Macaca mulatta: one gene and its partners. Each later gene encodes a partner of the first gene's protein in a complex. Links are inferred from orthologs where the notes say so. Each region holds a gene or a part of one and is shown in the gene's direction. Other genes may lie near its edges.

Evidence for each region. The genes of interacting proteins can lie anywhere in the genome.
Region 2: the proteins of RIPK2 (region 1) and XIAP are in contact, whole or in part, in a cryo-EM structure (PDB 8AZA), measured with the Homo sapiens proteins. The link is inferred for Macaca mulatta from reciprocal best matches to the Homo sapiens genes RIPK2 and XIAP. Residues at the interface, in NP_003812.1 of Homo sapiens: His136, Asn137, Met138, Thr139, Pro141, Ile208, Asp278, Glu279, Arg280, Ser282, Lys285; in NP_001158.2 of Homo sapiens: Lys208, Asn209, Trp210, Glu211, Pro212, Cys213.
Region 3: the proteins of RIPK2 (region 1) and NGFR are in contact, whole or in part, in an NMR structure (PDB 2N83), measured with the Homo sapiens proteins. The link is inferred for Macaca mulatta from reciprocal best matches to the Homo sapiens genes RIPK2 and NGFR. Residues at the interface, in NP_003812.1 of Homo sapiens: Gln437, Ser465, Arg466, Asp467, Leu468, Met470, Glu472, Asp495, Ile496, Gln497, Gly498, Glu499, Glu500, Lys503, Ile523, Leu524, Val526, Ser527, Arg528, Ser529, Pro530, Ser531, Leu532, Asn533, Leu534, Gln536; in NP_002498.1 of Homo sapiens: Gly334, Leu335, Ser338, Leu339, Pro340, Lys343, Val347, Ser354, Ala355, Asp357, Arg360, His361, Gly364, Glu365, Tyr368, Pro370, Ile373, Asp374, Leu398, Asp399, Leu401, Leu402, Arg406, Arg407, Ile408, Gln409, Arg410, Ala411, Asp412, Val414.
Region 4: the proteins of RIPK2 (region 1) and SFN are in contact, whole or in part, in a crystal structure (PDB 7OBS), measured with the Homo sapiens proteins. The link is inferred for Macaca mulatta from reciprocal best matches to the Homo sapiens genes RIPK2 and SFN. Residues at the interface, in NP_003812.1 of Homo sapiens: Leu535, Gln536, Asn537, Lys538, Ser539, Met540; in NP_006133.1 of Homo sapiens: Lys49, Arg56, Arg60, Lys122, Asp126, Arg129, Tyr130, Pro167, Gly171, Leu174, Asn175, Val178, Tyr181, Glu182, Ile219, Leu222, Asp225, Asn226, Leu229, Trp230.

What each region holds. Positions count from the first base shown.
Region 1 is NC_133413.1:100,250,481-100,253,920, forward strand, and holds the end of RIPK2 (receptor-interacting serine/threonine-protein kinase 2), read left to right. Parts: intron 1-1,284; coding exon 1,285-1,446; intron 1,447-1,568; exon of another isoform or gene 1,569-1,639; intron 1,640-1,991; exon of another isoform or gene 1,992-2,023; coding exon 2,024-2,361; 3' UTR 2,362-2,940; downstream 2,941-3,440.
Region 2 is NC_133426.1:130,313,928-130,318,029, forward strand, and holds the start of XIAP (E3 ubiquitin-protein ligase XIAP), read left to right. Parts: upstream 1-1,302; 5' UTR 1,303-1,514; coding exon 1,515-1,779; intron 1,780-4,102.
Region 3 is NC_133421.1:60,513,321-60,517,283, reverse strand, and holds the start of NGFR (tumor necrosis factor receptor superfamily member 16), read left to right. Parts: upstream 1-1,163; 5' UTR 1,164-1,288; coding exon 1,289-1,354; intron 1,355-3,963. UniProt on the Homo sapiens protein: Low affinity receptor which can bind to NGF, BDNF, NTF3, and NTF4. Forms a heterodimeric receptor with SORCS2 that binds the precursor forms of NGF, BDNF and NTF3 with high affinity, and has much lower affinity for mature NGF and BDNF.
Region 4 is NC_133406.1:214,122,291-214,124,770, reverse strand, and holds SFN (14-3-3 protein sigma), read left to right. Parts: upstream 1-1,143; 5' UTR 1,144-1,208; coding exon 1,209-1,955; 3' UTR 1,956-1,980; downstream 1,981-2,480. UniProt on the Homo sapiens protein: Adapter protein implicated in the regulation of a large spectrum of both general and specialized signaling pathways. Binds to a large number of partners, usually by recognition of a phosphoserine or phosphothreonine motif.

The sequences.
Region 1 (3,440 bases):
AAAACAGGTTGCGTGCGGTGGCTCACACATGTAATCCCAGAATTTTGCAAGGCCAAGGTGGGCAAATCACTTGAGGCCAGGAGTTCAAGACCAGCCTGGCCAACATGGCAAAACCCCATCTCTACTAAAAATACAAAAAAATTAGTGGGTATGATGGTGCACACCTGTAATCCCAGCTCCTCGGGAGGCTGAGGCACAAGAAACGCTTGAACCCAGGAGGCAGGGGTTGCACTGAGCTGAGATTGCGCCACTGCACTCCAGCCTGAGTGACAGAGCAAGACTCTGTCTCAATTAAAAAAAAAGAAGAAGAAGTTAAAACAAGTTTTAGAGTTAAGAAACATTACACTTTCAATGTTTTTTGTTTTTTGTTTTTAATTTGAGGTACTAGGAGCACACAAAGGGTTGATGTCCAGAGGGCTTTTGAAAATATAAGATTAAGGTTCACAGCTGGGTGTGTTGGCTCACAACTGTAATCCTAGAACTTTGGTAGGCTGAGACGGGCGGATCACCTGAGGTCAGGAGTTCGAGACCAGCCTGGCCAACATGGTGAAATCCCATCTCTACTAAAAATACAGAAATTAGCCAGTTGTGGTAGCATGGAACTGTAATCCCAGCTACTTGAGAGGCTGAGGCAGGAGAATCTCTTGAACCTGGGAGGTGGAGGTTGCAGTGAGCTGAGATCGCAACCATTGCACTCCAGCCTGGGTGACAAACTCCAAAAAATAAAAAATGGGGGGGGAGGGAGGGAGGGAGGGAAGGAAGGAAGGAAGGAAGGAGGGAGGGAGGGAGGGAGGGAGGGAGGGAAGGAAGGGAGGAAAGAAAAGAAAGAATATATAAGGCAAAAGTTCAATGAAGACAGAAAATGTAATTGTGTGGATTGGGGAATAGAGGGGATGATTAAGTCCCTGAGGCTGAGTGGGATTCCCAGAAGAGAAAGTAGAAAGACAGACATCATATATAGATTTAGAGAACATACTTAAACTTCAGAAGGAGTAAGAAGACACAGGAAAAATATGGGACTTTGTGAAGAAGTAAAATTCTATGATTTATAATTTACATAGGACAGACAATTGCTGACAGAAATTGTAGTGAAAGCATGCCATATAAACCCTTTTTTGTTTTAAGAAATATCTACTTGCAGAATTAGGTTTCTGAACTAGCCTTAATATTAGTGGAAACTAAAGACATTGGAGCCTACCTTCTGTCTGCTCAGATGTTGACATGTTAGCCAATAGGAACTTCTAAGGCATATTCCACCTCTAATGAAGATGTTGTATTTTGTAGGAAAAACTCAACACTGTTCTTTTATGATGCTGCATCGCTGTCCTGGAAATCACAGTTGGGACAGCACCATTTCTGCGTCTCAAAGGGCTGCATTCTGTGATCACAAGACCACTCCATGCTCTTCAGCAACAATAAATCCACTCTCAACTGCAGGAAACTCAGGTAAATATTTACTGTGAAACACCTTGTAAGTGATGCCATTTAGCTTACATATTTATGTTCAGTGGGTTTACCATACAGTGAGATTTATTTGTCTTTATTTCCTCAATATGATAAATATATACCTTCTTAAGTAGGAAAACAAATCCCAGGAGATGGGAACGATGACATGGCCCACATGGTGTTCTGTGAACATCTAAATAGGGAGGCAGTACTAAGAGGAGGTATTAACATATTACTAATTAACAAATTTGCAGGTATCTTTTATATTTGAAACAAAATGGACATTAAACAAAACTGAACAAATCCTAGAAGATGGGAATGACGACATAAAGTGGTTTTTGCCCCAAGATTTATACCATATAAAAAGGCAGTGCCTTTTCTGGGGAGTGAGGGGGAGATAGCCCAAATCTCTGAGTGTTTCCTGAAAAATGATAGCATTCCCCCAAATACTGGTGTTCAATATTGGCACAATCATAGGAAAATTAGGTTTTATGCTTTATTGATTTTTCATGGAATTTTACTTATTGCTATGTATCTGTCCTCACCTTTTAAATATTCATTCCTTGCTCTTTTTCAGAACGTCTGCAGCCTGGTATCGCCCAGCAGTGGATCCAGAGCAAAAGGGAAGACATTGTGAACCAAATGACAGAAGCCTGCCTTAACCAGTCGCTAGATGCCCTTCTGTCCAGGGACTTAATCATGAAAGAGGACTATGAACTTATTAGTACCAAGCCTACAAGGACCTCAAAAGTCAGACAATTACTAGACACTACTGACATCCAAGGAGAAGAATTTGCCAAAGTTATAGTTCAAAAGTTGAAAGATAATAAACAAATGGGTCTTCAGCCTTACCCGGAAATACTTGTGGTTTCTAGATCACCATCTTTAAATTTACTTCAAAATAAAAGCGTGTAAGTGACTGTTTTTCAAGAAGAAAAGTCGTTTTATAAAAGGATATTTATATCTCTGTTGCTTTGACTTTTTTTTTAATATAAAATCCGTGAGTATTAAAAGCTTTATTGAAAGTTCTTCTTTGGGTAAATATTAGTCTCCCTCCATGACACTGCAGTATTTTTTATTAATTAATACAAGTAAAAAGTTTGAATTTTGCTACATAGTTCAATTTTTTATGTCTCTTGTTAACAGAAACCACTTTTAAAGGGTAATAATTATTATTCTTTTTCATAACAGTGCCTTAAGGTATGATGTATTTCTGATAGAAGCCATTTTCACATTCATGTTCTTCGTGGATTATTTGTTACTCGTCTAAGATGCAATTTGATTTTATGAAGTATATACCGTTTTACCCACCAGAAACAGTACAGAATCTCTGCCCTAAAATCCCAGGCTTAATTGCTCTACAAAGGCTTATTAATTTAAAACTCCATTAATAGGATTACATTTTAAAGTTTTATTTATAAATTCCCTTTAAAAAAGATATTTCAAAGGTAAAATAATACAATATAAAGAAAAAATAAATATATTAATACCGGCTGTCTGTCTCCATTTTTAACCTCAGCCTTCCCTACTGTCACCAACAACCAAGCTAAATAAAGTTAACAGCCTGATGTTTATCCTTCTGTCCCTTTCTTCCTGCTTATATTTAGAACATATGCTCATTTGGGAAAGGATCTTTTCTGCATATTATTATTATAATAATACATCATACTGCAACCTGCTTTTTGCATTTAATAGTACAGCCTTCCAGATCAGATATGGCTCTAACTTACTCTTTTTACTTGCTGCCTAATACCCACACTGTTTTTATTTTCTTAACTTGTCCGTATCAAATTTAGCCCAAACAATAAAAGTACAGTGTGAGCACTTTTTTGGTTAATGGGTTATATTACTATATGAGAACTTACAAGGAATAATAGCCGTTATCTGAAACCGCATAGCAAAGTCAGCAGAAAGTGAGATACAGAGTAAATTTGAAAATATGAACTTTCAAGAAGCAACAGACCCAAACCTGAAAAAAGTTTGAATAAAAGAAA
Region 2 (4,102 bases), on another chromosome or scaffold:
TCTTAAACTCTCTGGTAATTCTGTTTTTTCCTCCTTCTCAAAAAGCTCACACTCTGCTAATGTGTATATATTGTTCACTTGAGTGCTTCTAAATAAATATTTACTTTTCAAAAGAGTGAAATCTGAACTATTAGCATGGAAACAACCTCTGGGAAGACAAGATCTCCACTCAAAAGCTTCAAATTGAGATTCTCCTGCTCATGTTGAATGATGGTTTTATCTAATATTTTCTGAAATAGGGTGACTACTTGAACTACACAAAATTGTGAAATGAGAATATCTTTGATTTTATACTTTGTTTTTTCTTTTTTTGAGATGAAGTCTTACTCTGTCACCTAGGCTGGAGTGCAGTGGCACAATCTCGGCTCATTGCAACCTCTGCCTCCCAGGTTCAGGTGATTCTCGTCCCTTGGCCTCCCGAGTAGCTGGGATTACAGGCGTGTGCCACCATGCCTGGCTAATTTTTGCATTTTTTGGTAGAGATGGGGTTTCACCATGTTGGCCAGGCTGGTCTTGAACTCCTGACCTCAAGTGATCCACCCACCTTAGCCTCCCAAAGTGTTGGGATTACAGGCATGAGCCACTGTGCCTGACCACTTACATCTATTTTGATTGACTTGAAATAAAATTTAACACCCCAGGGAAGGCAATTCTCATGTGTTTTGAATTATACTGAGCATTAATTCTTCAGGATAATTATAGACTTGGAAATGTTTAATCCAGTCTCCTAGTCCATGCTGAAGCTCCTTTAAGTGATAGGAGGAACTCATAATCTACAAGGCAACCCAATCCATTTGTTGCTATATCAATTGTTATAAAGCTCATCCTTGGGTTAAAATTGGCTGTTTATAGTTGTATTTAATGACCTTAATTCTGCCCTCAAGCTATACAAAATGTGGATCTCTTTTCTACATGATAACCTTTTAGATATCAGTCTATCCTCCCTACCCTTCCCCTCACAATTTTTCCACCCTTTGCGATAAATATCCTTTGCTATTCTAACTATTTCTCATATGATATCATTTTTATCATCCCAATTGCTCCCTAAGGACATTAAACTTTGTTAATGTCCTTTCCAAAATGTATTTGGAACTGGAAATAATATCCCTTGGTAGCTGAATTGGATCTGGATGTTGCACATCTGGACACTAATGCAGCCTGAAGTTGCTGTAAGTTTTTTAGTCAACTTGTAATGTTGGCTCATGATGAATTTGTAATTAATTAAAATTCCAAGGTTTAATCTGGAGGATTGCCTTTATGTGATTTTTTCTTAAACCAAGTCTCCATTTTCTTTTAGTTATGCAACAGATTTTTTTTTTTTTTTTTTTTTTTGAGACGCTCGCTCTGTCACCCAGGCTGGGGTGCAGTGGCACGATCTCAGCTCACTGCAACCTCCACCTCCTGGGTTCAAGCAATTCTCCTGCCTCAGCCTCCCGAGTAGCTGCGATTACAGGAGTCTGCCACCACGCCTGGCTAATTTTCTTTGTTTCTTTTTTTTTTTTTTTAAAGTAGAGATGGGGTTTCTCCATGTTGGTCAGGCTGGTCTTGAACTTCTGACCTCAGGTGACCCACCCTCCTTGGCCTCACAAAGTCCCGGGATTATAGGCATGAGCCATTGCACCCGGCCCTTTTTTTTTTCTTTCTTTCTTTTTTTGAGATGGAGCCTCACTCTGTTGCCCAGGATGGAGTGCAGTGACATGATCTTGGCTCACTGCAACCTCCGCTGCCCGGGTTCAAGGGATTCTTCTGTCTCAGCCTCCCGAGTAGCTGGGATTACAGGTACCTGCCACCACGCCTGGCTAATTTTTGTATTTTTAGTAGAGATAGGGGTTTCACCATGTTGGCCAGGCTGGTCTCAAACTCCTGACCTCAAGTTATCCGGCTGCCTTGGCCTCCCAAAGTGCTGAGATTATAGGCATGAGTCACTGCACCCGGCCTATGCACCAGATATTTTTAAAAAACCAGATGTAAGACTTTACACTTACCCCTATTAAATGTTATCTCATTAGCCTATCAGGTAGCTTTGGTTTTTTACTTTTATTTTATTTATTTATTTATTTTTTTGAGACAAGAGTTTCGCTCTTGTTGCCCAGGCTGGAATGCAATGGTGCGATCTCCGCTCACTGCAACCTCCGCCTCCTGGGTTCAAGTGATTCTCCTGCCTCAGCCTCCCAAGTAGCTGGGATTACAGGCATGTGCCACCACGCCTGGCTAATTTTGTGTTTTTTAGTAGAGACGGTTTCACCATGTTGGTCTAGCTGGTCTCGAACTCCCGACCTCAGGTGATTTGCCCACCTTGGCTTCCCAAAGTGCTGGGATTACAGGCGTGAGCCACTATGACCGACTGGTTTTTTTCTTAAGACTAGTCAAGTGCAGAGTGAGAAGAGGGAAAAGAGTAGAACAAGGGGTTTGATCAGCCTTGGTTTCTTTGAATCTTGATTTTTGTCATTCGGTTTATTATGCTGATTCAACAGAGGGCCCTGAAGCTAATGTTGGAATGTTTTCAGACATCTAGGAAATGATAATTCATCAAAAGTCATGGAGACTATTCCAAAAGTTTTATGCAGATATAACTCAGCTGTTGAGGTATGAGTTAATACCACTATAAGTTGACATGGCCAGGAAAGACAAGTCCATTGCCAACTTGCTTTGTGTTGAACATTACTCCAAAAGAGATTAAATTCTAAGACATATTGTGTCAACATAAAGGCAAAAGAGCTGGCTAATTCTTCTCAAGAAATCAATGGCTCGACCTTTTGGCTCATGCCTGTAATCCCAGCATTTTGGGAGGCCGAGGTGGGGGATCACCTGAGGTCGGGAGTTCAAGACCAACCTGACCAACCTGGAGAAACCCCGTCTCTGCTAAAAAATACAAAATTAGCTGGGCATGGTGGTGCATGTCTGTAATCCCAGCTACTTGAGAGGTTGAGGCAGGAGAATCGCTTGAACCCAGGAGGCAGAGGTTGCAGTGAGCCAAGATCACGCCATTGCACTCCAGCCGGGGCAACAAGAGCAAAACTCCATCTCAAAAAAAAAAAAAAAATCAATTAATGCACATATAATATAGAGACAGAGTTCTTGTTACCATTATTTTGCCTTTGACAAGTTTATATTGAGCACATTATCAGGCAATGTGGGAGATTCTGGAGAACCAGGTTTGCCTCATAGCTAGGGTTACCATATGCTCTAGTTTGCCTGGGGCAACCCTGATTTATGCCTGTTGTCCCAGTGTGATTATTGCTAGTGTGATTTTTCACTTTGAGAAGTGTCCAGGTTTGGAAGATAAATTATCTTGCTATCCTTCTCATAACCTAATGGGTTCTCTTTAGTATTTTATCTGGGTTAAAATTACACAGCTGTAATTTGGCAGCTCTAATAAGACTGCAACAATACTTATCTTCCATTTGAACAGATTGTTACTTGACCAAGGGGAAGTTTTGTTTTTTTTTTTTTTTTTTTGAGGCGGAGTCTCGCTCTGCCGCCCAGGATGGAGTGCAGTGTTGCGATCTCGGCTCACTGCAAGCTCGGCCTCCTGGGTTCACGCCATTCTCCTGCCTCAGCCTCCCCAGCAGCTGGGACTACAGGCGCCCACAACCATGCCCGGCTAATTTTTTGTATTTTTAGGTGAGACGGGGTTTCACCCTGTTAGCCAGGATGGTCTCAATCTCCTGACCTCGTGATCCGCCCGCCTCGGCCTCCCAAAGTGCTGGGATTACAGGCATGAGCCACTGCGCCTGGCTACCAAGGGCAGTTAATAGCAAAAGTAACTGCAGGGCACATGTATGTCATGGGCAAAAAAAAAAAAAAAAAAAGCAATTAAGGTTTGCAGGTACTTAGAGTTTCTCCTGAGCCACTCTCTAGAGGGCAGTATTACATATATATCTGTAATTATCCAGTTACAACAAAAAAGGGGATCTGGTTCATGCATGAAAATCAGAAATATTTCATACTCTTAAAGAACACATTGGAACCAATATTATGATTAAAACATATTTTGCTAAGCAAAGAAATATTAAAATTAATTCATTAACATTCTGAACATTTTTTAATTTGTAAAAACTGAACTTTGATGCCTTGAATATATAATGATTCATTATAACAA
Region 3 (3,963 bases), on another chromosome or scaffold:
GGGTTGGGAGGCATATTATTTGGACTTGGCAAGGATTCTAGGGCAAGACGAGTTTGGTCCTAGTACATGGATGGGTACACAGATATGAGTCCATTTCACCACTTTTCTATTTATTCCCTTCTACAGAACTTTCTTGAACCCTACTGTATACCAGGAATTCAGAGAAGAAACCATAATCCCTGCCTGCAGAGCTCATAAGCCCATGGAGACACTCACAGTCTGGTGAAGTTTATATTGTTGAAGATGCATCTGTTTGTTTGTTTATGGGTGTCAGTGTGTGTGTGAGCTCATGAATGTGTGTGTGCTTGTGTGACTGTATACGTGTGAGGACTTATGCAGACGCGACAGTATACATGCATGTGTGAATGCGTAGGTGTGTGCATTTGAATGTCCGGATCACATATGTGCCCGTGTGCAGGCCTGGAGACGTGCATGTATATGATAGTCAGGTCGGCAGGAGTGCATGAGGACGGTGTGGGCACACGTAAGTGCACAATCACACATACAGGTGAGCTTGAGAGTGTGTATTCCTGTGCATTGTGTGCACACCTGTGACCCCTTCAAACCCCTCATTTGAGAATCAAATGATGTTGGAATGGACTCCACCTTGAATGTCGATGGCCGAGGTCAGGCCGCCTGCGCCCCTCCCCTCCCCCAGGCCTCTGCCCAGGGATCTCCTGCACTGGGAAGGGGAGGGGTGGGAATAGGGGAGGAGGTGGGGTGATGGGCGTAGATGAAGGGCAGGGAGGGCAAGCGGGCATTCTTACTGATAGGGGCCAGGTAGGGAGCAAGGCTCCAGGGAGAAGGCGAAGCCAGAGACGGAGGAAGATGGGTAAGAGAGTGAACCCTGTGGCGGGCCGCAGCCGGAGAGGAACAGAAACCGCAGTGGGGACGCCCTGGTCCCCGGGCCCACAGCATCCGGGACGGACGCGCAGTAGTGCGGGCCGGGAACTGGGTACCAGGGCGGGATGGGTGAGAGGCTCTAAGGGACAAGGCGGGGAGAAGCGGCAGCGGGGTGCGGGGAACCGCACGCCCTCCCTTTGCCTCCGCTCCCCACCCCGAGGCAGCGGGGCGGGCGGGCGCGGTTCCGGGGGTGGGCGGGCTGGGCGGGGCGGAGGCGGGGCCGCAGCACTGGCTTCACCCAGCCTCTCCCGCCCGCAGTCAGAGCGAGCTGAGCCGCGGCCAGCTCCGGCGGGCCGGGGGGGCGCTGGAGCGCAGCGCAGCGCAGCCCCATCAGTCCGCAGAGCGGACCGAGCTGGAAACCGAGCGCTGCCGCGGAAGGCGGACGATGAGGGCAGGTGCCACCGGCCGCGCCATGGACGGGCCGCGCCTGCTGCTGTTGCTGCTTCTGGGGGTGAGTGCTAGCCGGAGGGGGGCCTCTCCCTTTCCCGGGATCAGAACTCCGAGGAGAGCCGGGCGGCGCCACCAAGGAAACAGAACAGAGCGCTGGGGTCCCAGATGCTGAGGGTGGGTGGTGGGACAGGGTCTCTGATGCCGGGACCACGAAGGAGGGTCTAGGGTTCCCGGAACGCAGAGGCGACCCTCCAGGGTGGAGATGCGGGCAAGACCGGAGCGCGGTTTCGGGTCCTCAGGTACCGCAGGGGGCGGTGGAGGAGCTGGGAGGGGTCTTTCAGGAGGGGGCATGGGGTTCTCGGATGCCTGGGTTCTTCGGAAGAGGACACTCGAATGTCGGGATCCCGAAGGGACTTTCCCCTCAGCATCTCGGTCTCTGGAGAGTCGTGGGACGGAACCAAGGCGAGAGAAGGAGGGGGAACTGGACGGGGACTAGAGATGTGAGGGGTGAGCTGGGTTGGGGCGGGGAGCCCAGGACGAGGGGATGGAACAATGGAGGAGGTCGGAGGGACTGGAGACAGAGGGGACCTGACAAGGACAATGGGGACCGGCCAGACAATGGGGGGGAGGGGCGTCGGAGGGAGAGGTTGGGGAGCTGGAGAGCGGCTGAGAAGTGGGTTAGGGAGGGCAGAAGAGGAACGACAGCGAGGGCGGCAGAGAGATGGGAAGCAAAAGGAAAGCAGACGGAGCGGGCCGCGGACCCTAAAGCGGTCGGGGTCCCGCCTGCCAGCTGAGGGATAGTGAGAGAAGAAGAGCGCGGAGGCTTGGACATTTCCAGCGCCTGTCCCGGCGCTCCTGCCCGCGGCCTCGCCCAGTCCTGGAATTGCGGCTGGGGATCTAAGGCTGGGAGGGGAGTGCCCACTTCGCCGGGGCGAACCCGCTCTTGGGGTTCCCCCACGGCCGACGGGCTCCTCCGACGCTCGTGTTCTCACGGCTTGAAGCAGCGCGGCGGATCGCGAGGGACGGACCAGGTGTGCTCCTACCCGGGCTGGCGGTGGCTACATCTCGGGGTGCAGAGCGCCCGGGCGCGCTAGGCGGGGACCCGTCCCGAAAGCGCGCCGCTCTGGCTGCGCAGGCGGGAGGCGGCCGGCAGGAGGCGCTGCGGGGCGAGACAAGTGCAGTCCGCGGCTGCTGAGCGTCTGGGGCTGCGCGCCTCCCCCAACCCAGCTGCGCGACCCGAGCGCCGCGCCCACAGCGCTCCGTGGGCTCCAGCTCCTCGAAGGGTCAGGATCCGGTCTGCGCCTCGCCTGGCTCTCGGTGCAAGCCGCTGGGCACCTAACGAGACGGGAGCGCGCGGACGCCTCGGATTCTGCCGCGCGGTGTCCCGAGCCACTGACTCGGCAAAGGTCGGCGGGTCCTCCGGGCGGTCCGAGGAGATTGTCAGAGGTGGCCTGCTGTATGGCCATGAACCGAATGCCCTGGAAGGTCTGGCAATGGAGGAGGCGTCTTCACTCTCCCTGCCAGCGTCTTTCATCTGAGCACTGCGCACCAAATCTCGGCTTTACAGATACGGAGACTGAGACTTTGAGAGTTTTAACGACTTGGCCGAGATCTCACAGCAAGTTGGGCCAGAGTCGTGGCTAGACTCCCCCGACCTGAGTCCCAACTCGGTACTCCCCCATCTTTTCAGGGGGTAGCCGCTGTCCCAGATCGGGGTCACGGCTGCGTTTTCCAGAAGGGGCGGGGTTGACACTGTCCCCAGAGTCAGGCGGCGGTAGAGCCTGCGGGTGAGGTGGACAGAGATCCTGTCCGGGTGCGGGCCCCAGTCCGAAAGCTCAGCCCGGGTTCCCTGGAACTGTCAGGACTTGTGGCTGAGTCCGGGGATTTGGGAGCGACCGCGGGCACATCTGCTGACTAACCCCGCTGGTTAGAGACGCTGCCTGGACGCGAGTGGGCGAGCGTGGACCAGAAGGGGGGGTAGGAGGGACCGGGGTGGTCTCTAGTCCCGACCCCAGAGGGGCGACTACGTGGGATCCGGGTCTGGGCAGGAGCGAGGGTCCAGGCGCGAAGACCCAGAAGGAGGGGAGCTGGGCATGGAGGGCCTGGGCGCTGGGGAAGGTGGACCTGCCGTCTGCAGCCCCTGCGGCTCCCGCCTCCGCCTCCGAGGACGGCTGCTCCGTCTGGGCTGGCTGTGCGCGGTACGAGTTTCTTCCTGGGACGCGGCGCGAGAGAGAGGGCTGAAACCAGAGCGCGTCCCGGCGGGTCTGCTGGCGGGCCGCGCCGGTAATGGAGGCACTTTGTCATTCAGACGTCTGTAACCAGAGCCGCTGGGCTGGCTAATGCGCCTAATAGGGATGGAGCGAGGGCAGCAAATGGGCGTGCGTGAGCGGCCGGGCTGGGCTGGGGTGGATGGTGGATGGGGAGGCAGCTCCGTGGGGGGACGGGCCCCCACCCCACTGTACCAGCCCAGTCGGGCTCAAGCGCCTCGCTTCTTCCCTGGAGGACCGCGTGGGGAGGCGGGAAAAATCGAATGTGCTGAGTTCCTACTACGTGCCTTGCCCTGGTACTTTCTCTTGAGTTATTTAATCCTTATAAGGTCCTAGCAAGGTGAATTTCGCTATTCCCACTTCGCAGATGAGGAAACAGAGCCCTGCAGACTTTCAGGCCCGA
Region 4 (2,480 bases), on another chromosome or scaffold:
TAGCGTCCCCCCTGGGGGATCAAACTGGACTGCTTCCCAGCCTCAGACAGAGAGCAGTCTGAGTCAGGCAGGAAAGTGGGACAGCCGGGGAGCTGGACCCCACCCTCTGTGAACCCCACTGGTACCTGATGGCATGTGGCTTGGAGAGGGCAAGTGACCTGGTGTGGAGGGCCAGAGGGTAAATCCTCAAACAAGTGGCAACAGGCCACCAACTTGAAAGGGAAAATTGTGTAGTGATGGGAAATGTGTACAACAAACCTACTGGGTGACTAATTACAAAGGCTGGGCTGGAGCGTCAGAGGCTGCTTGTTAAACACTTCATTAAGTGGCACTCTGAAAGCTGCCACCTGCGCATTCTGGGAGCTCAGAGGGGACCCTGAGGGGGAGTGAGGCCTGAGGGATGGAACCATCTTCAGGTAGATTGAGAAAGAGCCTGGATCTCACTTCCAAACACAGCCTGGAGCTCATAGGTCAGAGACTTCAACGGGAGAAAAGCTAAAGGAAGCAGGGTGCAGAAAGGAGTTTCAGGGAAGTGGTGGCTATGTGACTTTGAGCAAATCTCACCCCTCTCTGAGACTTAGTGTTCCCATCTCTGTGGTCCTGTGTGTGTCACAGAGACACAGTGGGGATTAAATTCGATGGTGAATATGAAAGTGCTTGGGAAACTCTATGGCCCTACCTAAACATGAGTTATCCTCACCTGAATCAAGGGGAGAAGTTACCTGGCAGGATTGGGAACCCCATCCTCCTGAACCTTTATGGGCTCTGTCGAGGCAGAAGCAGCCAGGGGCTAAAGCCGCCCTTAGCCTCTGTAAGGGCGCTGTGAAGGAGGATCTGATTTGAGAAGCCAGGCAGTTTCCTGATGTGAGCAGCCATATGATGCCAGCCCCGAACAAGAGGGGGCAGCCTAGAGCCTGGAAAGGTGCCTGTGCAGGTGGGGCCCACGCCCAGATTTCTTCTGCTGACTGTTCTGATGACTCACCCCCACATCCCAGCCTTTTTACCTTTACTGCAGAGCCGGAAAGGGTGTGGGGAGGAGAGGAGACGGAGGCAGGTCTTGGGCCCTGGTCCCGCCCCCTGCTCCTCCCCACCCTTCTCTGGGCCTGGCCACCCAGCCAAAAGGCAGGCCAAGAGCAGGAGAGGCACAGAGTCCGGCATTGGTCCCAGGCAGCAGTTAGCCCGCCGCCCGCCTGTGTGTCCCCAGAGCCATGGAGAGAGCCAGTCTGATCCAGAAGGCCAAGCTGGCAGAGCAGGCCGAACGTTATGAGGACATGGCAGCCTTCATGAAGGGCGCCGTGGAGAAAGGTGAGGAGCTCTCCTGCGAAGAGCGAAACCTGCTCTCAGTAGCCTACAAGAATGTGGTGGGCGGCCAGAGGGCTGCCTGGAGGGTCCTGTCCAGTATTGAGCAGAAAAGCAACGAGGAGGGCTCGGAGGAGAAGGGCCCCGAGGTGCGTGAGTACCGGGAGAAGGTGGAGACTGAGCTCCGGGGCGTGTGCGACACCGTGCTGGGCCTGCTGGACAGCCATCTCATCAAGGAGGCTGGGGACGCGGAGAGCAGGGTCTTCTACCTGAAGATGAAGGGCGACTACTACCGCTACTTGGCCGAGGTGGCCACTGGTGACGACAAGAAGCGCATCATCGACTCAGCCCGGTCAGCCTACCAGGAGGCCATGGACATCAGCAAGAAGGAGATGCCGCCCACCAATCCCATCCGCCTGGGCCTGGCCCTGAACTTTTCCGTCTTCCACTACGAGATCGCCAACAGCCCCGAGGAGGCCATCTCGCTGGCCAAGACCACTTTCGATGAGGCCATGGCTGATCTGCACACCCTCAGCGAGGACTCCTACAAAGACAGCACCCTCATCATGCAGCTGCTGCGAGACAACCTGACGCTGTGGACGGCCGACAACGCCGGGGAAGAGGGGGGCGAGGCTCCCCAGGAGCCCCAGAGCTGAGTGTTGCCCACCACCGCCCCACCCTGCCCTGCCCCCTTCAGTCCCCCACCCTGCCGAGAGGACTAATATGGGGTGGGAGGCCCCACCCTTCTCCCCCAGGCGCTGTTCTTACTCCAAACGGCTCCGTGGAGAGGGACTGGCAGAGCTGAGGCCACCTGGGGCTGGGGATCCCACTCTTCTTGCAGCTGTTGAGCGCACCTAACCACTGGTCATGACCCCAGCACTGCTCTCCGCACCGCTTCCTCCCGACCCCAGGACCAGGCTACTTCTCCCCTCCCTCTTGCCTCACTCCTGCCCCTGCTGCCTCTGGTCGTAGGAATTGAGGAATGTCCCGCCTTGTGGCTGAGAACTGGACAGTGGCAGGGGCTGGAGATGGGTGTGTGTGTGTGCGCGCGCGCGCGCCAGTGCAAGACCGACATTGAAGGAAAGCATGTCTGCTGGGTGTGACCATGTTTCCTCTCAATAAAGTTCCCCTGTGACACTCCTCCTGTCTCTCTCCAGTTCTTGGCGATGGGTTGGGAGTGG